Linked DNA regions of Oryzias latipes. The protein of the gene in region 2 binds, or shares a complex with, the protein of the main gene of each other region. Links are inferred from orthologs where the notes say so. Each region holds a gene or a part of one and is shown on either strand. Other genes may lie near its edges.

Region 1 (11,178 bases), on a different chromosome or scaffold from region 2:
ATTAAAAATGTTCTCGGATCGCTCATCTTTCAGCTGAGGCCCGTTCTGAAGGGAAAAAGAAAAGGGGGAGCAGATTTACACAAAACAAATAAATAAATGAAAATCAGCTGCAGTTAATAAAACATCAGGTGAGGAGACGTAACTGGGTATGACTTTCGCTCTACCCAGGCGTGCAAGTGTGCTGCCGGTGCCACGACGATTAAGCATCTCGCAGAGGAGTGTGCCTCTTAAACATATCAACATTCAGCAAATGGGAAAGGAGTGAAAAATATGTAGGAGTGGGAATAAAAAGAGGAAAAGACAATAGTGGCTTTTGATGCACCTCCCTGAGAGGAAAAGCAGAGGAAGGTGAGAAAAGAATGGGCTGCCTTTGCAGATTGAGCAGCAGGGATGAAAACCAACTTTGAAGATGACATCTCTCAAATGCACACATAAACAAAGGGAAATCTTTGGCTGAAATGATTGGACTTGAAACTGAAAAGCCCCGGCGGGCGTGGGGGGGGGATTATCACCTTTACCTTGTCGTGGACGGTCATGCAGCTGGCTGCGTCATTCTTAAGGATGTCTGTCACCCCGTTGGAGAGCCTCTCGTACTTTAACTTGGCCTCCTCCTCACTGTCCTCCTCCTGGTTCGGAGAGGGAAATGGGCTTTCACTCAACACTTTCTTAAAGGTAGTCATTTACACACAGCCACTTCACAGAAGTTACAAAAGACACTTTCAAAGACGTCCGTGCAGTGTGTTGAAATATGCAAAAAGTTCTCTTCCTGTTGGTTTCAAACTGATGTGACATATGAAGTTTTAGACCCCTTTCTCTAAATGCTTATTTCAAATATTACATAAAGACATGACTTTGAATGCTTCAGAAATTAAAAACCCAGTTTGAACTAATATCAATGCAAAAGGCAATTAGAAAAGATTTTAAAAGGTGTTCATCTTTTCTATTTCTACCAAGAAAAACAAGATGGAAACACCGATTCCACAAAAAAAGCATCAGAAGATCCTTTTTCTTCACTTAATAAACCTAAACTGCATACTTTATGAATTTAAGATCCACACCTAAGGAAATATTGTCTTTATTAATATGTCCATAACACGGACTTCTCAGCTCATATAAGCCAACTAAACAACTCCAATTAATCTGATGATGGCAGACAGATATAAAGAAAATTCAGCTCAAAATTGCATTTCTGAGTATTTCTTTATTCAAAATTGTTGTGAATCAGGAGCAGACAAAAAAATGCAGTCTGATAAAGATTGCATCTGCAACATAAAATACACAGGACTCAGCTCCCTGCTCCACAACGGGGAGGGGAAAGGGGGCGGGGTTTGCTATGCGCCAAGGGCCCTAACCCACAACCAAGAGACCAATTTCTAATGAACTCACCCCGCAGAAACTATATCCTGGAAAACGGCGCAGGTTTTAAGATTGTGGCTAAAAAGGAATAATCATCTTCAAAAGATTGCAGAGAAAACTTTTAAAATAAATCAAGAAGGGGATCCGATTGGATCATTAAAGCCTATTTTTAATTATTTCAACTTGTGTCAATGAGGCAAAAAAGAAATAGAATACATTTTAAAAGATGTTTAAATGTTGTTTTTCCACAAATAAAACTGGATGGCATCACTAATTCCACAAAAAAGCATCAGCAGATCCTTTTTTTTTTTGCTAAACAAACTTCTTCTTCCTCTTTCGGCTTCTCCCATCAGGGGTCGCCACAGTGAACAAGTCGCATGGTAAACTTGGCAATGTTTTACACCGGACGCCGTTCCTGACGCAACCTTCTCAAACCGGGCTTGGGACCGGCACAGAGGAAGAGAAGGGAACAGGGAGCAGCCCGGAGTTGAACCCTGGTTTCACGGTTGGAAGGCGCCGCAAACCAGCACGAGCTAAACCGGCTCCCTTTTTGCTAAACAAACTAAAACTGCGAAATTTGTAAAAGTACGATCCAAGCCTGACATATTGAAATAAACAATTTCTATGAAGTGTATCACTTTATAAGCAGCAGGCAGTGAATAAAACCGATATTAGGAGATTAAATAAATTAACAAATAGATTTAAAAAATGTGATGTCAAAGAGCAAAGCAGCACAAATGTATGGACTGGAAGCATTTAATATATTAAAGATACAAATTTTTTTTTTACTTATTTAATATTCCTGTTATTAAAATACTATGCCATAATATTCTCAAGGGGATTTTTGCTACATTTTTTTGTCCTTTTACCTCCTAAAACAACATAAAAAAAGTGGAAAATCTAAAGGTAGAAGGCAAAGATAAGAAGGGAAAACAGACTATGAGAAAGACTACTGGTTAAAAAATGTAAACTTAAAACAATACGATGCTCATACTATGGTACATGCGTGTTACTGACCTTTATGTTCATTTAAAGCTTAAATATACCTTTTTAATTAAAATAACTGGTATTATCTGGTGTTATTTGGATTCATACCTTTATATGCTATTGGCTAAATAAAATGAGTTCTGTCATTGTATCAAGAAAGAGTATTTCTGCATAGAACCAATCTATTTTGAGAAGTGTTTACATGTATATGTGTAGGAGATACCCAAAAAAGGGACAAATTTTCATTACCTTGCATGAAAGGCCTAAAACAACAATTTTTCATCTTTTCTCAATGCCGTTTATCCCCAGTGAGACGCGTGAATTTATTGTTTTCATAAAGCAAACTTAAAGTATTCTACTGTGTTACACTTTCCAGCATGAGTCAACATTTGCAGCCAGTCACAGCCTGAATATTACTCATAATTCGGTTTATAACCAATACTGCACAGTCTGTGGCTGCCCAGAGGGTGCATCAACTCAAAACATTGTCTGCCATTATGTGCTACTGGGTTGGAGGTGGGGGACAATAGCGTGGAAAAAATGTTATTTTCAAAAACAATCCTTTCCCACTCAACAACGCCATATCTAGGCTATTTCCTGTGTATTCTGGTTGTGAGATTTCTGATGCGAGGGCATTTGTCACGGATTTCAAAGGCGTATCAAACAACAAAGGCAAACTTCATCCCCACAGAGAAAATCCCCATTTTAAAACTTTTCCCATCTCTTGTAAGTTGCCCTTTGTTTTCTCCACTGCCACACTGGCCTTTATCTTGAAGCCATTTATGCCATTTTTCTTGCCTATTGACAGTTTAAATACAACAGGTTGAACTATTCAGTCGGACTGCATCAAGGATAACATTCTGCAGAGCGCACAGAGACGACGCCGGTTGTCGCCATCTAGCAGGATAAGAAAAATAGGAATGTCCACTTCAACAAAAGCTTTTAAAACAAACGCGAATGAAAATTATGCTACACTAACGCAGCTGCCTTTGAGTTATACATGATGGCTATCCTTCAGAAGATACAAAGGACTTAATTCAATTTGAAAGGAAAATTAAAATCCCTTCAGCTATGAGGTTAACATCTTCAGTTCAATAGTTTTCTAATAATGACTGCCAACCTTTCTATTCAATTCAATTCAATTTTATTTGTATAGCCCAAATTCACAACAACAGTCGTCTCAATGGGCTCCGTATCGGTAATTGCAAAAGTGAAACATGAACTCAAAAGGATCATAAATACATAGAGTTCAATAGGAAAATACTAAAATGAACTAACAAACTGACTAAGCTATACTGGCATCCCTGCCCTTAGACCTTTTAGGAAAAACTCCTTAAAAAAAACGGATTCCGGAAAAAACAGAGAAACCTCAGGGGTCCCCACATGAAGGAGGGATCCTCCCCCAGGACGGATAGGCGATTTACCAGAACTCTTAGAGAAGAATTAACTTATCTAACTCTACAACCACATATATAAAGTCCAGCAGACGAGCTTCATCCAGCCGGAGTTGCTTTTTAAGTAATTTGCCCCTCATTTTGCAAGTGAATGGAAAAGCTTTGATCTGTAAAGGTTTTTTGTTGTAAATACATACTTAAAGGTGTGAGTTCTATAGAGAAAGCTGGATGCTGAGTGTGAGCATTTTTTTGAATGAATTTTAAAGAAAATAGTTTAATCAAACCAAATATTTTTGACTTTAACTGGTGTGTTATAGAATTTTTCCTTATTTTGTTTTTTTTTAAATAAAGATATATTTGCTTGTAGTACTGTACATGCAACATATAAGGTGAACTGGTCAATAACCTGAACAGCGCTGGGACCAGTAACAAATGTTACTATACACTCACTGGCCACTTTTTTAGGCACATCTGTCCAACGGCAAATCAGCCAATCACATGGCAGCACATCAATGCATTTAGACATATGTAGACATGGCTGCAGTCTAAACCAAACTGGGAAGAAAGGGGATTTAAGTGACTTTGAACAAGACATGGTGGTTGGTGCCAGACAAGCTGGTCTGAATATTTCAGAAACTGCTGATCTTCTGGGATTTTTACCCACAACTATCTCTAGGGTTTACAGAGAATGGTCCAAAAAAACAAAAAGAGATCCAGTGAGCAGTTCTGTGGGCAGAAATGCCTTGTTGGTGCCAGAGGTCAGAAGAGAATGGCCAGACTGATTCTAGCTGATAGAAAGGCAACAGGGTTCCAACTGAGGTCTGCAGAAGAGCATCTCTGAACACACAACACGTCCAACCTTGAGGCAGATGGGCTACAGCAGCAGAAGACCACACCGGGTTTCACTCATGTCAGGTAAGAACAGGAAACTGTCTGAGGCTACAACTCACACAGGCTCACCAAAACGTGACACTAGAAGATTGGAGAAACGTTGCCTGGGCTGAATAATTCTCCATTCCTGCGGCGACAATTGGATGGTAGGGTCAGAATTTGGCGTCAAAGCGGGAATCAATCCTGCCTTGTATCAACAGTTATGGCTGGTGGTGGTGTAATGGTGTGGGGAATATTTTTTTTGGACCCACAGTACCATTCTAGCATGGATACAAAGCCACAACGCTGAGTATTGTTGCTAACCATGTACATGCCTTTATGACTACATCTTCCAATGGCTACTTCCAGCAGGATAAGGCGCCCTTTCATAAAGGTGGAATCATCTCAGACTGGTTTCTTGAACATGACAATGAGGACTCTGTCCTGAAACAGCCTCCAAAAAGAATGTCAAAAATATAGACATTTTGTTTTCTAAAAGATTTATACATGTGTTTTTCACCCAACTTTTTTATGTGAGAATTCTGAAGATTCAAAGCAGCCCTTCTCTGAAATGTGTTAATTTATTTCTATTCTTAAAATGAAAAGGAAAGAATGTAGTCCTGTCCTGCTGTGATTGGCAGCTAATGCTTGTCTACCATAAACTTAAAGTAAGCTTCTTTATAACTTTGCAACACTTAAAAAATACTTCCACGTTCAAGTTGTTAAAAACAAAAACAAAAAGAAAAGAAGAAAACAGGAAATTGAAGCAGCGTTTAAGTTAAGTAAATAAAATAAGGAAAAAAAAACGGCACAAAATAATACAATTCTAAGCTTCTTACCTCAGACTCATCAGTACATTCCTCGCTTGGCTTTTTATCCTTAAAGAAGAATCACAATCAAAATGTTTGATCTTTAAATTCTCTAGTTTGAAAAATAAATAACAAGATCATTAAAACTAAAACAACCCCAAACCTTCGTTAAAATAAATTTTACACGAATTGTAGGTAACAATCAAAATCAGAATAAAAATCTCATAAATATTAACAAAACATTTGTCATTCTTTAAAAAAAACACGTATAAAACGATCATAAGCTAGCTAGCTTTAGCATGCTATCCTCACCTTTTCTTGCACTTCCGCCATTATGGTTCCAATAGCGATAAATTCCGAAAGCAGATGTTTTTGATCAGTGTCAATTGCAGAAACACATATTAAATTACGCACACAAACTATGTTTGTGGCAAAAGCACGTATAATAAGGCAGTAGAATGCGATGTTTACTGACGGAGCAGTCTTGTTGCTCACATGAATCACTGAATCACATGACTAATGCAAAAACCGCGAGGCAATCTGGGTATTGTAGTCAAACGTAACAGCGTTTGTTTCAAGCAAGGAGTTGAAGACGTCTGCTGCCAAAACGAGTGCAGCTGAAGTAGGTAGCATTAAAATAGTTTTATATGTTTCAAGTTCTCAGTTACCGAATATTGTCAGCCTTATAAGTTTAAAATTACTAATACTGAAAAAAAGGAGTTCTGGATAAAAATGTTCTGTCCGAGCTCAAAACACGTGTTAGGAATATAGTTTAATATACAATTATAAAAGCAAAAGTAGTCGTATTATATTATATTATATTGCTTTTTGTGCCTTATATGTAGGTCAAAAATAATTTTAATTTATTCTTTAAGCTTTTATGAGAACACATTTTTGACACAAGCCCATTGGCCCATTTGGTAGTTGCGGAAAAAAAAGAACAAAACAATAAGTAAACACAGTAAATATCATATTTCATATCCTATTTTCCGAAGAGAAACAGAGGATACAGGAAAGTAGGGAATATAGAGACATTTTTCATTCAATAGATGTGCCACATCATGTACTCCTACCTTATATGGAAGGAATAAATGGCTTTTTAAATGGTTAACATTAAATTACTGAAAAATATAAGACAGTTAAATTGCTTTACATTAAAAAAAACCTTTCCATTTCTGCTTAATCCATTTTAAGGATGTTTTGGGGTCTTTTGTTAAAAGCTAGGGAAAAGACGATACACGTTTAATCTAACTACTCATTTGTTGTGTACATTTGCAGACTTTTTCAACGTTAAAGTGCGCTCTTTTGTCACAATACTGACATTTCATAGTTCAGATGGATTCCAAAGGTTTGAGTTCCTTCTTTTTTATTGAGATTGTCTCACACCTCCGTCCTGCTTCATTCATCCTCAGGAGAATCCTAATGCACTGATACCAAACGGGGATCTCTTTTTTTTCTTTCTTTACAATCTGCTTACCAATGATTTATTGATTGCGGCTTCCACCCTCACAGAGAATTACCGATCCTTTTTGGGAAATCAGATTTTCACACCTTTCACTGGTGTGTATGTGGTCCAGGTCTCCAGAGACGGTGAAAGGGGGAAACTGACTTTGAGGAGCAGCTGTGTGTGAATCTCTGTGGTGTCACTCTGCTGCCAATGGTGCATCTAGCGGAAGGCCTCTGATTCTCCACATCTCTACACTTCCCTCTTTATAGTGCTGCATTATTTAGTGGTGGATAAATACGGCTTGGGCTTAATTCTATACGTGTCCATTCCCTTTGAAACCATTAAAACGCGGTCCACTAACCCTACAATCTTAAGCAAGCATGAGCTGCACTAAGATATAAGCATCTCATAGACAAAAAAAAAAGGCAAAATTACACAAACAACTCTTGCTTGCGTACGTGGAGCAAGATTAGTGCACCAGAAGCTTTGATGCTTGAGAATGTCAGCTCTGTGGATCGATTTAGCCAAAAACACACACACACCTGACCAATCAGAGGCTCTTGTCTGTTGTGGACCTGCTGCTGGGCACCATGGTTTACAAGCTTCAAAGAGCTCCTTTTAATACACTGCTTTGATAGCCTTCAGCCCTCACTGACCCACCGACCGTCCACTGGGGAGCATTTTAGCTTTAGCAGAGAGGAGAGGTAGGACTGTTGATCATATCAACAAGCTCAGGGAAAAAAATATATATATCTTTTTTAAGTTTTGCCTCAGCTTGCATTCACTTTTAAAAATTTACTTACACTAAATTTACTGCTTCACATAAAAGAGTAGAATAATTTGAAAAGAAAATAGGATTTTGTGATGCTTTCGTATGAGGAAAATGATTTATTTCTTTTAGAAAGATAACAGTTTGAGTTATAACCCTAAGGGGGAGACAAATTATTATCCAACAAACTACATTAGACATCCGTATCTCAGGGTGATCACTCAGTGCAACTAATTAATAAACATACATCATTTCATTGCTTTGAGATTATCCGTATTGGACTGTTGGATGAAAGGCTTATTGATGTAGTAGCAGATGCTCAGTAGTGACCTTTTAATCAGTCATTAAGTTTATCTTAAGGATTTTTTATGAAACCTGTAATTGAATATCCTTTAGCATAACATTTAAGTAAGTAGTGATGATATGCACGATTATACATAGCGTTCTCTTGTGCTAATCTACTCTTGTATTCTCATAATTTTTAAAAAATACACAGGAGTTTCAAAAATTCGAAGTCAAGAAGCTTTCAAATTCCAAAACTGCTATATTACATCGAAGTATAGAAAATATTTATATCACTTTTTATCGTAGTCCACTCTTTTATTGTAGGCCAGCTCAGTGGCCTTGTGGTTATAGAGTGTCTGCCCAGTAACTGGAAGGCCATGGGTTCAAACCCAAGACCTTAAAAATGGGACCCAATGCCTCCCAGCTTGACACTCAGCATTAAGGGGTTGGATTGGGGGGTTAAGCCACCAAATGGTTCCCAAGCACAGCTGTGTCCGCAGATCACCGCTCCCCCAGGGGATGGGTCAAATGTGGAGAACAAATTTCACACACCTAGATGTGTGACAGACAGTCAGACTTTATGGCACTAAAAAAGGTCTTACTGAGCTTCAGATTATTGCACTAATTACTAATAAAAGATAAACAAAACACAATAACGTAAAAAAAACTATGATTTATTAGTTTGTGCTAATTTTAGGCATTTTTTATGATTTAACAGTGGTCATTTTCATGGAAAAACCAATTACTTTAAATGTAACTTTTCTTATGTTTGAATAAGATATTTATTTTAAATAAACCAAATTAAATTTAACTATAATATTCATTTTAACATTTTAATTTTAAATACACAATTCATGATTTTGTTAAAATCTTTCTATCTGGAATAACCATTCAAATGTATGTATTTATTCTTATTTAAGAGACTGAACTCCAAAAACCTTTGGGACAGACTTATTGTTTCTAAAACCCTTTTTTTCTAATGGTCACAGGTTGAATTCCCTTAACCACAGGTGAAACCAGCAGCTCTTAGCATGCATATGTGATGACTCTCTCTCCACTAACCGCTGTTTGCCTGTCCACCAGGGGTATTAGGTGAGCGGGAGGCATTGGGGAGGGTGCAGCAAGAGCTTTTTCTCATTTTTGCAACCTTCCTGAGATGGGGTCAGTAAGACATCAGCACACAAACTTGTAATAATCTAAAAGAACTAATCACAAAAAGCCTGGTAAGGACAATAAACAAAAAATCTAATTTCTATAATCCTGTTTGCTTTTCTTGCTCTTTTTTATATATTTTAGCATGAGGTTGGTTAACTCAGAGTCTATTTTACAGCTATATTAAATAATAATAGAGGTGATGCAATGGCAGATAGGCAAAGTTTGCTTTTTGAAGCAATTATCAGCTGTGTAAAACGGTGAGGGATGTGTTTCCCTGCTATCCTGGAGCTTCAGAGGCCAGAGCAAGATTAGAGCTCTGATCTCATTCCCAGCACTTGTTTGGAGTCTGTCAGGAAGAGAAATGCCGGCATTAGAGAGGTACCGCCACACTCCTGATATGATGAAATAAGGAGAAAAGGGGAAAGGGAAAAAGATGGAGGGATGGACAGAAAGGACCCTGCCCTTCTCTGAAGGTTCACCAGCTTGTTTATTTCTATTTTTCATCGTAGCTGCTGGGGCAAAGATTCCCATTTTTTTCTTTACCCCCCCCCCCCCCCCCCTTCCCTCCTCCCGACAAAAAACACTGCTCTCATTTTTTATAGGTCTTACAAACTCTCATGCCCCAGTGAAAATTACATTGTGAAACGGTGGAAATTTCAGGGCTGCCTGTGCTCTCCGCTGTCCCTCTGAGCTTTCAAACAGTCAACAGACTGTGAAGAATAAATAATAAAAAACTATTGATTATTTTGATGACTGCAAGATTCAATTAGGTATTAATTTTGCCCTCCAGTGGACCTATCAAGCAGCTCAAAAGCAGGGGAGGTGGGAGGAGAGAGGTGAACCCAAATGAATGCAGAGTGTGGCCGAGCTCAGACAGAAGGGAAATGTGTTTACCTCGGCGGGCAGAGAGATGCATCGATGCGCGGTGTCCCACATTTAAGTGCCCCACAAATGAAACCATGATGACTAGTGACATTGTTACCAGGGATATGACTATTGACCAGTTGGGCCGAGTTTTTTAACGACAGCTTAAACTACTCCTATTGATTAACATTTTCATAGATTATCACGTGTCATATCAGAGGGGGCATATTCCTGTGATGGGCACATTAAGGCCCCTCTGGGTAGAAGTTCATCGACCACAATGATGGACAAAGGGGGGGCTGTGGAAGGGTGAGGGGCCAATAACAGCACCCCCTCCTCTATTCTCTTTTCTTTATGTACGCACCGGTCACCTGTCCTCTGCTAAGACATATTTAGGATGGAGCAGATTCATAAATAAAGAAGAGGGCCGTGGAGCCTGAGGTGGGGCGAACGCTGTCTGAGGAGCTTCTCAGGGGGAAGAGACAGAGTGAGGAGCGGGCGGGAGAGAAAGAAGAAGGAGGAGGTGACATCTTTAGGGTTCGGAGGCAACCTCAGGCTTGAACCTGACTTTGCCATTCAGACGCAGGGAGGTTGATGCAGGAGGAAGAATGCAGTAGCTGAACGGGGGGCTGACATGTTTTAGCGTCCGTTTGACTGATTTCAACGTCTGGACTTCCTGAAAACTCCCTTTTACTGCTTTTCCTTCAGGAGCTTTTCAAGGTAGGAAGCATTCTTACCAATAAAGTCTGCTAATAAGGGGGGGAACGATGAACCGATGAATTGATTTATATTCCTACGATCCAACCAGATCAATCTGTGGGAGGCAAGTTGTTAATAGAATTGACCTATACCGTTATGGAACTGTTTCAAAATGAAGTAAAATGACTATATCGATATTGGAAAATACCATATGGATGGTATGGATTGAGGAACAGTTGGTTCATTTTACTATAACATATAAAAAGTGTATCACAGCAGACAACACACGTGATAGCAGCAAAAACCGATCAAGCCATCACTACACCGCTTTGAACTTCGCAAAGACGTGACCGTACAGTGTGATTCTATTATTGTTCTAATGTTTTTGATGTGGAAAAACAACAGTGGGCTGAACTTTAGGAAAGTAAAATGTGAGTAGATTTGTCATTAATTCTTGTTAACTTGTTTGTTTGTGCACAAATTTAATTTACACTTGATTATGTTGCAAAGAAATACCAGGAATCTGGACAACTTCACCTGCAC
Region 2 (11,356 bases):
GCAGGAGCCCCAACGACCAGCAGGAGCCCCAATGACCCGTAAGAGCCCCAACGACCCGCAGGAGCCCCAACGACCAGCAGGAGCCCCAACGACCCGCAGGAGCCCCAACGACCCGCAAGAGCTCCAACGACCCGTAAGAGCCCCAAAGACCAGCAGGAGCCCCAACGACCAGCAGGAGCCCCAACGACCCGTAAGAGCCCCAACGACCAGCAGGAGCCCCAACGACCCGCAGGAGCCCCAACGACCCGCAGGAGCCCCAACGACCCGCAGGAGCCCCAACGACCCGCAAGAGCCCCAACGACCCGTAAGAGCCCCAACGACCAGCAGGAGCCCCAACGACCAGCAGGAGCCCCAACGACCACCAGGAGCCCCAACGACCCGCAGGAGCCCCAACGACCCGCAGGAGCCCCAACGACCCGTAAGAGCCCCAAAGACCAGCAGGAGCCCCAACTGTCCATAGGATTTCCAACATTCCCGCAGGAGCCCCAACGACCCGTAAGAGCCCCAACGACCAGCAGGAGCCCCAACGACCAGCAGGAGCCCCAACGACCCGCAGGAGCCCCAACGACCCGCAAGAGCCCCAACGACCCGTAAGAGCCCCAACGACCAGCAGGAGCCCCAACGACCAGCAGGAGCCCCAACGACCAGCAGGAGCCCCAACGACCAGCAGGAGCCCCAACGACCCGTAAGAGCCCCAAAGACCAGCAGGAGCCCCAACTGTCCATAGGATTTCCAACATTCCCGCAGGAGCTACTTCTATGCGGCCCAACTTCATCACAGTTCTGGCCCTTTTTTGCCGTCTATAGTTACTCTGTCTATCCATGGGAACTGTAAGGGCGGTCTGCACGTTCTCATCCTATTCTGATTTATATTTGATTTAGTCATTGAAATGGGGGCGTGGTCACTGATTGACATGTGGCCATCTAATGAACAGAACCCCTTACTGGCTGTTTTACTGTCACGATTCCTACAGGTTTCATTCAAGATCTTTTCTAAAAAAAAATGGCATTAAAGTTAGTCCAAAACAAAGCATCAGGTACTACAACCACACGGTTCATCCATCTCACCCCGCCGAGGTGATGAAGCGCGGTCGCTGCAGCTCCACGCTCTGCACCAGCAGCCTCGGCTCAACGGTTCGTATCTCCACGTATCGAGGAAGAACGGCGATGATGTAAGGGGGCTGGTGCTCTGTGAACAGAAATAAAAGCTGCTGCAGCACAAGGCTTTTCTGAAGCGGAACGTCTCAGAGCACAGAGACGGTGAACGGGAACGTGGTACGGGGCAGAACGTGAGCAGAACCATCCGGATCCAGCAGGGACCACTAAGGACTGACTGCTGGGAGGAGGACGGTGAGAGTTTAAGGTTTAGTTTTCCTTTAACGGAACATTCATGGGGGCTGCAGCTCCATGGTCACGATGTTTGTGTCGCAGCTGCTGCTCTCTGCCCTACAAAATGATTTGATTTGAAACGTTCTGGTCTTCTGCATGAAACCTGCACTTCCTCCTGCTCACTTCTGCTTCCTGCCGAGCTCAGACACATCTGGCCAGCAGCTGTGATCCCACCCGGTACCAGAACAGGATCTAAACTGAGCTTCATCTCAGCTCAATCAACAGCCTAAAACACAGAGAGACGCAGAAAACTGGAGCTCAACACTTAACAGTTTCGTTCACGTGAACAAACCTGATGTTAGTTGATCAATAAAGGTCAAAGTTCATGATCAAACAGTGAGAAACAGACTTTAAAATAAATGGATGAATGGGAGAGTTCAAGGAGAAAGAAAATGCAAAAAGAACACACAAACTATTGGACTATGCTTCTGGAAGGAGAGTGTCCAAAAACAGTTTCACAGTCAGACATGGAAGTGGGAGTGTGATGGTGTGGTGAGAACTCTGGTTTGGCAGCAGATCAAAAAAAACAAAGAAAAGTCTAAAACGCCTTTACTTACCCATGGCGATGGGGATATCTGTCCAGTTTAGGGCGCACTTCTGCGTGCAAACTCCTTCCTCGTTCAGAACAACAGTGAGGTCATCCTGACCCACCGCCACTTTCCCATCAGCCAGTGGGGCAACCAGAGGCTCCAGCTGCTTCCCGGTGGGGAAAAGCTCCTTGATGGAGCCTCTGCCATCGAGCTGATCGACAGGAGAGACAGCAGGAGTCCAAAAGGATCCGTCAGAACCACATCAGGACACACCTCAAGACAAACGGTAGAACTTAACTCAGGAAGTCAAAACCCAGAGAACGGTTTTAGAAAAAAACGACAGTAATCGCTGAGACTTTTTACACTAAAACTGGAGATTCTTTTTCAATGTTTATGGTCTTTTACCATCACCACCTGATCATTGGATTCATGACTGTCGTGTTTTGTGAGTGAAACCCAACAAAATCCTCCGTTTTGCTCGGATGACACTTGGGCTCAGACTGTGGACGTCTCTGCCGGGTGTTGAGGATGGGTCTGTCCCACGTACCCGGATGAGGTAATAGTCCCGTTTGAAGCCCACACATATGGAGTTTTCGCACCACGCCATGGATTTGGGAATGTCCGGAACGCCCAGGTCTCCCTGGAAGATGAAGCCGGGCGTGAGCCGAGCGCTCCTCGGTGGTCCCGCTCAAGGCCGACCTGGTCTCACCTGCAGCTCGTGGAACTCCCGGTCCTTCCAGTAGAACAGCTGGAGCTTCTTCTTGACCGCCACGCACATTCGGAGCCGCTCCTCCCCCGAGGCGGCGAGCTGAAAGAGCCACAGAGACGGAACTGCTCAACATGAGCCGACCTTCAACCGGCTGGTCTGGCGGTCAGACGGTGAAGCGCTTCATCACGGGTTTGAGAAAAAAGGAAGAATAATATTTCTCTTTTAAACGGAAAAGGAAGAAGGTCTGAAGCATTTCTGTTCTGCAGTGAGTTACCCAGACAGAAGACGTAATCTGATCAGATAATCTGAATAGAGATCATTCAGATTGTTCAGATGTGTGGTGCTTTAATCACGCAGAAGCACTGCAGTGAAAAGGACATTTTTGTAGCATTTTTTTGATGATGGAGGACACATACAGAAAATTAACCTGTAACTTTTCTGAGTATTTCTTTATTCAAATCGCTTTGAATCAGGAGCAGACGAAAAAATGCTGGTTTGAGAAGAAAAAAAAAGGGACAGAAAAAATATGCTGGGTGGGCCACAAAAGCTCTCAGAGGGGAAAGAGGGGGCGGGGTTGCTTAGCGCTGACAGCTGCTGAGAACTGGACTGAGTGATGTCACCCAGAGAGAACACTCCCTTCTGGCTCCAATGACATGAAGCCAGTTCAACCGCCATTTTATCGCATCTGTTGGAGCCAGACGGCATAAGTGAGCAGTGATTGGGACAAGTCGGTTTGAGTCCTCCTTCCTATGGCAACCACTCCCACCAATCAGGAGTAAGCTGGTAGGACGGCCACACCCCTACTTTTTGAGAGTGGGCCACACAAAAATCTGTCAAACGTTGGATGCAAAACCGCCAAGTTTTATTGAGGCGTCTGATTGGTCAGTTTATAACTGGAATAACTTGAACTACAGAAAAAAATATCCTGAAAAAAATTATGATTATTAAGAACAAGTAAAAAAAAAAAAAGTTATGAGAGCAATAGTTATTCTGGCCATTAGAATAATAGAAGATTAGCTGTTTGTTTCTCTATAGAGGTCTAAGGGATTCTGGCTCCTTCCTGTTTGGAACGCCAGGAGGGAGGGGTCACTCGGTCCAGTTCTCATATATAGTCAACAGGTCCCGCCCACAACTCAGAGGTGAATTTCTAATGAACTCCTGCTGCTCTGCTGAATCTATATCCAAGAAAAACACACCCTTTTAAAAAAAATGTAGCCTAAAAACAGCATCATGATGATTAGAAGACCGCTGTGAAAAGGAAGGACTGACCTGCAGGTCGCAGGTGAACAGCGTGGCTCCTTTGGCTTTGGACACCACGGTGATCTGCTGGAAGGTCAGGAGGTCATGAACGTGGATGTTGTTCTCTGCAGGAGAGAGGCGAGCCGGGTGTTGAGCTCATGAGCAGAAGGACTAAACTGTGAGTAGAACTAAGGTCTAATGTCTTGATGGTGTTGGAATGGAGCTGTGACAGCAGAGAACTTACCCAGAAGGCTGACCAGGATTTTGTACTGAGAGACCACATAAAGCTGGAAGCATCACAAAGTTAGACCAGTTAGAAACATCCAAAAATCACATTTAAACATTGAAAGTGAAAGTTAGGTCACAAAGTGAAACCTGCTGGATCTTCTTTGAAAAGTTCTTATTGGACTTTTCCAAAGTGACTTCAAAGCGGTTGGTTCCTGAGGGGGGGAAAAAAAGGGGAGGAGCTTCCTTTAAAAGCCGGTGGGACTCCAGCAGGGATCAGGGGCTCACAGGCGGGCGTCCGACCTACCAGCATCTTTCTTGATCCGGTACAGGAGGAGATGTCCTGGTTTTGTTCCTACGAGCAGCCCGTCCTCTGAGGGAACACAAACCCGCTCAAACCGGGCCAAAGCCACAGAAAACTCCTCCACAACAACAAATGCTGGACGGCTGGTCCTCAGAGCTCAGACACTAAATGTTTCTAAAGCTGGATCTTAAAAAAGAATCACTGCAAAGGAGGTTTAATATGTTTACAATAAATGTATTTCCGATCTGTAAGACCCAAATGTATTCAGTTATTTAGAGCAGAGGATGACTGCCTCAGTCCATTTGATTTAAATCACAAGTTGATGATTCTTGGATTGAAAATTAGTTGTTTTTTTCTTTGAAAATCAATTTTTCTTGTTTATAAACTAAAGAGTTTTCTCATAAAATACGATTTCAACTGAAGAAACTTTATTAGATCTAAATGTCCACATTGGTTTGTTTCATTTTTTTAACTTAACAGTAGTTTAAACCTGTTTGTCGAACAGAAAGTTTGTGCTCATCGAGCTGGAGGACTCGGAGACTGTCCTGGTCGGGATTCGAACCCCTGACCAGAACATCCCACTAAACAAAAGCCCCTAAAAGCCCTGGGGGGCTGACTCACCCCAGGCGGCGAGACAGTCGATCTGGAGGGGGAGTTTTTCCAGAATGGGCAGGGACTCGTAGGCGTCATGCATCCTGAAGTCAACAGACCCCCCCGTGAGCCTCCTGTGGGTCAGTCACGGCGGTCGGCTGCAGACAACGTCCATTCACGGAAAAACCCGAACTCAGCGTCAATTTCCCGAAGTTTCTCTTCTGTTTTTACGGGGGAATAAAGCTAATCATTAGCTGCTAGCTCAATTAGCAACTGCGAGGACACAGAAATAAAAGCGAGCTAAAGCAGTCCGCAACTTTATCGAGGAGACATAATTCCTGCGAAAAACCCACAAAAGGGCGGAAAAAACTCCGAATCCGCGGAGAAATTTACAGTTTGTGTTCACTTCTCCGTACTTCCTGAGTGCGCCTGCGCGGTGCAGGGGGCACCTGACTGTCACGTGAGCGGCTGGGCGATCCCGAGGAACTCATTAAAGGCGCAGAAGCCTGGTTCAAGAAGACATTTAGAACATGTGTGACCATTTTATTCCTACTTAGATCCAAAGAGCGGTTTTATCGTCGTGGACAAAAACTACTAAACATTAAATACACGAGAATTTTAAAAACAAAACAAAAAAAAAACATGAAGAAATTAAAAGATAACCAAGAGGAGAAAAACGCAAGAAAACACAGAGAGAAGTTGCTAAAAAAGTGAAACATTACTCTTAGAAATAATTTTATTAATAAATTGAGTATAAGTATACTTTAGTAAAGATGATGCATGTGTAGTGTCAGAGGTATACTATCTGAAAACATCTTCAGACTTAACTGGAACATTTTAAGTTGAATATAGAATAAGTATCCTGCCTCACTTTAATATTGATGGATTTGTGTGGATCATTCAAGAAAATGATGAGTTCAAAAGAAAACAAATCCTTTCAAGTTTCTGCCCGGAGGTGGCTGGTAATACGTTGGATTTACTCACATTCATGGGAGTATAATTCAAATAATGCATCAAACTTTTACATACGTGGATACATTTTTTTAAATAGACATGACTACTTTAACCCAACTACACTGGACTTACAGCTTCTATTTAGCATTAAATATGGAGTTAGTGACGCTGTCATTCCACACAGGCACTGAGGTTTTGCACAATCAAATTAAATCAACGTTTATTTAAAAATGACCTTTTCATGCTTAACATGGTTTGGTGTGTGAAAAAACACAGCCGTGTCTGATAATAGAAGAACCTAAGATGTCAGTTATCAATACAGACACTATGAACTTTATTGAACTATTTCTGTAATGAATTTGATAAATCTGTGGGAGTTTTTATATAATGACTACAACTAGTGCTTGAAATAAAACAAATCCAATCTTCTATTGTCCACTTTTGGTGAGTCTGTGTGAATTGTAGCCTCAGATTCCTGTTCTTAGCTTTCAGGGGTGACACACAGTGTGGTCTTCTGCTGCTGTAACCCATCTGCCTTAAGTGTTGTGCGTTCAGAGCTGCTCTCCTGCAGACCTCGGTTAGAACCAGTGGTTTTTGGAGTTCCTGTTGTCTTTCTATCAGCTGGAACCAGTCTAGCCGTTCTCCTCTGACATCAACAAGGCATTTCCGTCCACACTTGTTGCTCACAGGATATTTCCTCTTTTTTGGACCGTTCTCTGTAAATCCTAGAGATGGTTGTGGGTGAAAATCCTAGTAGACCAGCAGTCTCTGAAATCCTCAGACCAGCCTGTCTGGGACCAACAACCACGTCACGTTCAAAGTCACTTCAATCCCCTCTCTTCCTCATACTGATGCTCGGTTTCATCGTCTGGATCATGTCTGCATGCCTGAATGTACAGAGTTGCTGCCATCTGATTGGCTGATTAGAAATTTGAGTAAACAAGCAATCAGACGTGTAAATATGTGTATGTATTGTACAAAAGAATATAAGAAATAAAGTTTCTTTGGATGCATTTGACTGTGTTTAGAATTCTCTAGTTATTCTATGATTTCATTTAACATTTACTGTATCATAAAAATGATGGAGCTGATACCGAACTGCACAGCTCTGTATCCAAACAGATCATCCACAATAAGGAAACAAAAACCATTGACAGGTATTTGCTCTGTAGAAATTTTATTGGCAGAACATATTTAGTCATCAACATCGTGATTCCAAAGGACAACTCAAACCAACATCAAAGGAAATCTTCCTCCATGAAAAAAATAATTTTCAACAATTTTCCCTTAAAGATAAATAAATGCAGATTCATGAAAGCCCAACCAAATAACTTAAGATGTGAAATTTCCTCAAAGACCTGGTGCCGTGTCACACTAACGTGAGGAATCCGTACCAACGGGTTTGTTTGTTTGTTTTTTACAGCTCAATGTTCAGGTTCAGGAAATGGATTTAGACTGTAATTAAGAGGAAGCAGCAACCCTTTTCCGGACCAGCAACCCTGTTCCAGAGCAGCTCTGTGTGCAGATCTAAGAAAAAGACCCAGTCTTACGCTGCGTTCACACCCAACACAGTTCGCAGGCGGATTGTTTCGATGTTAGGTCAATGGTACAGACGCCATCTGAGGTCTTGTGGCTCGATTTGAGTGACAGGCGCGGTGACAAGGTCTCGCAGAAATGCAAATCGGGCTGCGGCCGCGGTGGGCCTGAGTTAAAAAAAAAAATCTGAAATCTAGGAATGTCACCTCATACCAGCAACCAATCAGAGACTCAACCCTGGACACGAGACGGTTTCAGTGACGGCCCTTTTGGGGCAGCGGGGTTTCTGGAACCCGTCCTGGCTACTGTTGGGCGAAGGCGGGATAAGATGGCTGCTGACTCTGGAAAGTATACAGTTTTGGTTCTTTTGGACTTATCCTCTGCATTTGACACTGTTGATCATAAAATACTGTTGGGCAGATTAGAAAATGAGTTTGGTATTGCTGGGTTTGTTTTAAAGTGGTTTACCTCCTACTTGACTAATAGAACATTCTCTGTCTACATAAATGCCATGCTTTCTGATACCGCTCCACTCCTACATGGTGTGCCCCAGGGATCTGTTTTAGGACCTCTTTTGTTTTTAATGTACATCTACCCTCTTGGAAAGCTTTTGAATAACTTTAAAAATGTGTCATACCATTTCTATGCCGATGATATTCAGCTGTACTGCTCTTTCAATGACACAGAACTCCACAAACTTACAGAACTACTAGATTGCCTTGCTTGTGTTAAATCTTGGCTCACAAGTAACAGTCTTCAGCTAAACCCAGAAAAGACAGAAACACTAATAGTTGCCCCAGAAAACAAAATCCCGATAATTTCCCGGCATCTTGGTTCTTTGAGCTCCTCTGTACAGCCCTGTATCAGAAATCTTGGTGTATGGTTTGACCAGTCAATGTCTTTGGACCATCATTCCAGCCTTTTAATTAGAAACTGTTTTTATCATTTACGTAACATAGCAAAATTGCGGGCGTTCTTATCTAACTCAGTCTTAGAGATGGTTATCCATGCTTTTATTTCTTCTCATTTAGATTATTGTAATTCTCTTTTCACTTGTTTTAATAAATCTGTTCTTAACCGTCTTCAGTTAGTTCAAAACACTGCTGCAAGGCTTTTAACAGGATCAGACAAAAGGGCACACATTACTCCCATTTTATCCTCCTTGCACTGGCTCCCAATCAAGTGGCGTATTGATTTTAAAATTCTAGTTTTAACCTTTAGAGCTTTAAATGGACAGACCCCAAAATACTTATCAGACTTGCTCTGTCCCTACGCTTCCAGCCGTGCCCTCCGATCCTCAGATCAAAATCTTTTAAAGATTTTTAAGACAAAGTACAAAACCAGAAGTGACCGGTCGTTCCAGGGAATAGCCCCCAGACTCTGGAATGCCCTCCCTCTGTCCCTTCGTGTGGCCGACACCGTCGATTCTTTTAAAAGTCAACTGAAGACACTTTTATTCAAAAATGCTTTTAGCTGACTGGTTTTATTTTATGTTTATTTTTCTTCAATTTAGTTTTGCTTACATTATATTTAATTGATTGTTTTTCTGCTTTTACTGGGTTGTAAATTGTTTATTGTTCAGCGCTTTGTGATTTTATCTGTGAAAGGCGCTATATAAATAAAACTTACTTACTTACCTAGCCAGGCTGTCCCAAGACCTGTGGGGCTGGAGCGACTGATCTCCCAGGGGGCCAGCTGGCAGCCAAACAGAGAGCTCAACGTGAACCCTGAACTCTAGGATACTTTACTTGTTTTCATGGAGACATTAATAAAAAAAGGTCCCCTGATTTTATTCTGGTTTTTAGTTTTTCCCTCTCGGGTTCATGCAAGTCTGTAAACTCGGTCAGAAAGAGACGGAAAGACCGCAGAAGCCGCCGTCTTTCAGATACAGCAGCAGGAGAGAATCTGCATGATCCCAAACATGGAGACGCAATTAATCTGCTCAAAATAAATGAACCTGATCTCTCAACATCATCCGTGTTTTCTATGCACTGTAGGCAAGATAAACACAGACAGCGCTCAGGCTAAAAACGTTAGCTGAAGCTCCGCATACATGCGGCCACGGCGGCGAGCTCATGAACGTGGCGAGTTTAAGCTCGCAGCGCGGCAAAGGAGAGAGGTGGCCGACGCATGTTTGAATGGCGTTGGGTGTGAACGCAGCTTCAGTCAGCAGAAAGATTCAGTCGTTCAGCGACGTCTCCTGAATTCTGTCGGAACTTGAAGTTTGAGACCATTTCATGAAATGTGAATTTGTCTTTTTAAAGCTTTCACAAAAATAAAGTTTGAAACTGAGTTTTTACATTCAAGACTAAAAGAGAAACTGTTTCCCCTCAAAAAATTAAAGGAATGGTTGTACCGTAAATAAAAATGAGTCCACGGATTTAAGGGCTGCAGATGAAATGGAGCCAACCAGAGTTCACATGAAGACAGACTTCAGGAACAAACTCCGTTTAAAAAGATGATCAGATCAAAAAAACACGAAACTGTCTTCAATGAACAAAAATATTAAATCCCTGCACACAGAGACTGGAAGAGAGTGTTTGATGTTTTGTGCAAAATCTAATCTTATGCCTTAGTCACAGCTGCCCTTGAGGGTGGAAACGGGCCGTCCGGGGCAAAACAATGGTCAAACCTGTACGCAGATGACACCGTGACATTTTAAGATTGTAGACCAGTAGACGAACCCGTAGAGAGAAAATGTCTGTGCACTTCAGTTTCTACGGGTCGTAGTGAACACTTTAACGACACGTAAGGGTAAGCAATGGTGAGATAGGTGAGGCGCCGGGATGTTGTACAGATTTTATATCCTGCAGACTGAATCAGGGATCCCTTGGAGCTGTTCATGTGAGGAGAGCGTGCTCTTTATGATGCAGTCTGACTGTTAGAAATGAGGAAGTTGGACACAGGGTCGTTTGTGTGGACGTCCTCTGGGCCCTTAAATAACTTGTGCACACCCTGTGCATGCAGCATTTGCGCGTGGTCAGTAAGGAGGCGGTATGAGCACCTTACCAATGACTAGACTGTGTATGACAGCACCACACATATGTCATGTCTGTGTAACTTACATTAGTCTTACAAATCAATCCTTCATCTTACCCTTACCACACACGTGACAATGGTACGTTCCATTTTCACGGCAGACCTTGAGGCGGCTGCACGGGCCTGAAGGGGACTATAAGACACAACTCTGATCCCCTTAAGATGCGGCCACGCCTACCTATAACCCTCCTATGGGTCCAGACAAGCCAGAAACCTGGAGCACCGGCACGGGTCAACCCCCAATCGGGTGCATGTGACTAAGGCATTAGAGGCCGTTTCTCTGTGATGTCACGTTTGGGCGGAGCATGCGTTTGTGGGACGGGCTGAAACTTTTCCGGCGGTGTTGTACAGATCAGTGGTTTCTCTGGTTTGGGTTACTAACATGTGACGAGTACCATCAGCAACACCGCTGCAATGATCCAATGTCAGGAGATGTGGTTCATCTTCATCGCTCAGGGAACCGCACAGCCCGTCACAGACCGTCACTAACCTGAACATTTCTTAGCTGTGGTTCATCCTGTCTGCTAAAGAAACGCTCGGCACGGAAACGCTGCTCACAATCCAAGCAAAACACAAACAAAACAAAGTAAAGGCCAGAGGTGAGGCCTTCGGACGCACCACTCATCCTCCAAGACAATGAATCCCTCAGAACCGATGACTCAGCAAATGAGCTTTCGGCCCATCCTGAAGTCCTCTGCTTCTACTCCATTTTAGATCTCTCCATCTTGGTTTTCAGGATTTCCTGGAAAAGAAGTAGAGGTGAGCGCACACCAGTGTGAATGAGACAGAGATCCTGGTAATAGTTTTACCTCTTCCTCATCCAGCATGGTAGGAAGCGCTC

Evidence for each region.
Region 1: vps39 (region 2) and vps41 share a complex: the UniProt entries of both Homo sapiens proteins name them as parts of the homotypic fusion and vacuole protein sorting (HOPS) complex. The link is inferred for Oryzias latipes from reciprocal best matches to the Homo sapiens genes VPS39 and VPS41.

The regions. Positions count from the first base shown.
Region 1 is NC_019878.2:20,691,821-20,702,998, forward strand, and holds the start of vps41 (vacuolar protein sorting-associated protein 41 homolog), read right to left. Parts: upstream 5,933-11,178; 5' UTR 5,750-5,932; coding exon 5,729-5,749; intron 5,486-5,728; coding exon 5,447-5,485; intron 627-5,446; coding exon 519-626; intron 1-518. UniProt on the Homo sapiens protein: Plays a role in vesicle-mediated protein trafficking to lysosomal compartments including the endocytic membrane transport and autophagic pathways. Acts as a component of the HOPS endosomal tethering complex.
Region 2 is NC_019880.2:24,627,341-24,638,696, forward strand, and holds the start of vps39 (vam6/Vps39-like protein), read right to left. Parts: upstream 5,448-11,356; 5' UTR 5,090-5,447; coding exon 5,017-5,089; intron 4,465-5,016; coding exon 4,399-4,464; intron 4,307-4,398; coding exon 4,242-4,306; intron 4,154-4,241; coding exon 4,111-4,153; intron 3,992-4,110; coding exon 3,897-3,991; intron 2,727-3,896; coding exon 2,628-2,726; intron 2,559-2,627; coding exon 2,466-2,558; intron 2,130-2,465; coding exon 1,946-2,129; intron 1,189-1,945; coding exon 1,068-1,188; intron 1-1,067. Other genes in the region: transmembrane protein 87A, read right to left, coding at 11,216-11,257, 11,325-11,355. UniProt on the Homo sapiens protein: Regulator of TGF-beta/activin signaling, inhibiting SMAD3- and activating SMAD2-dependent transcription.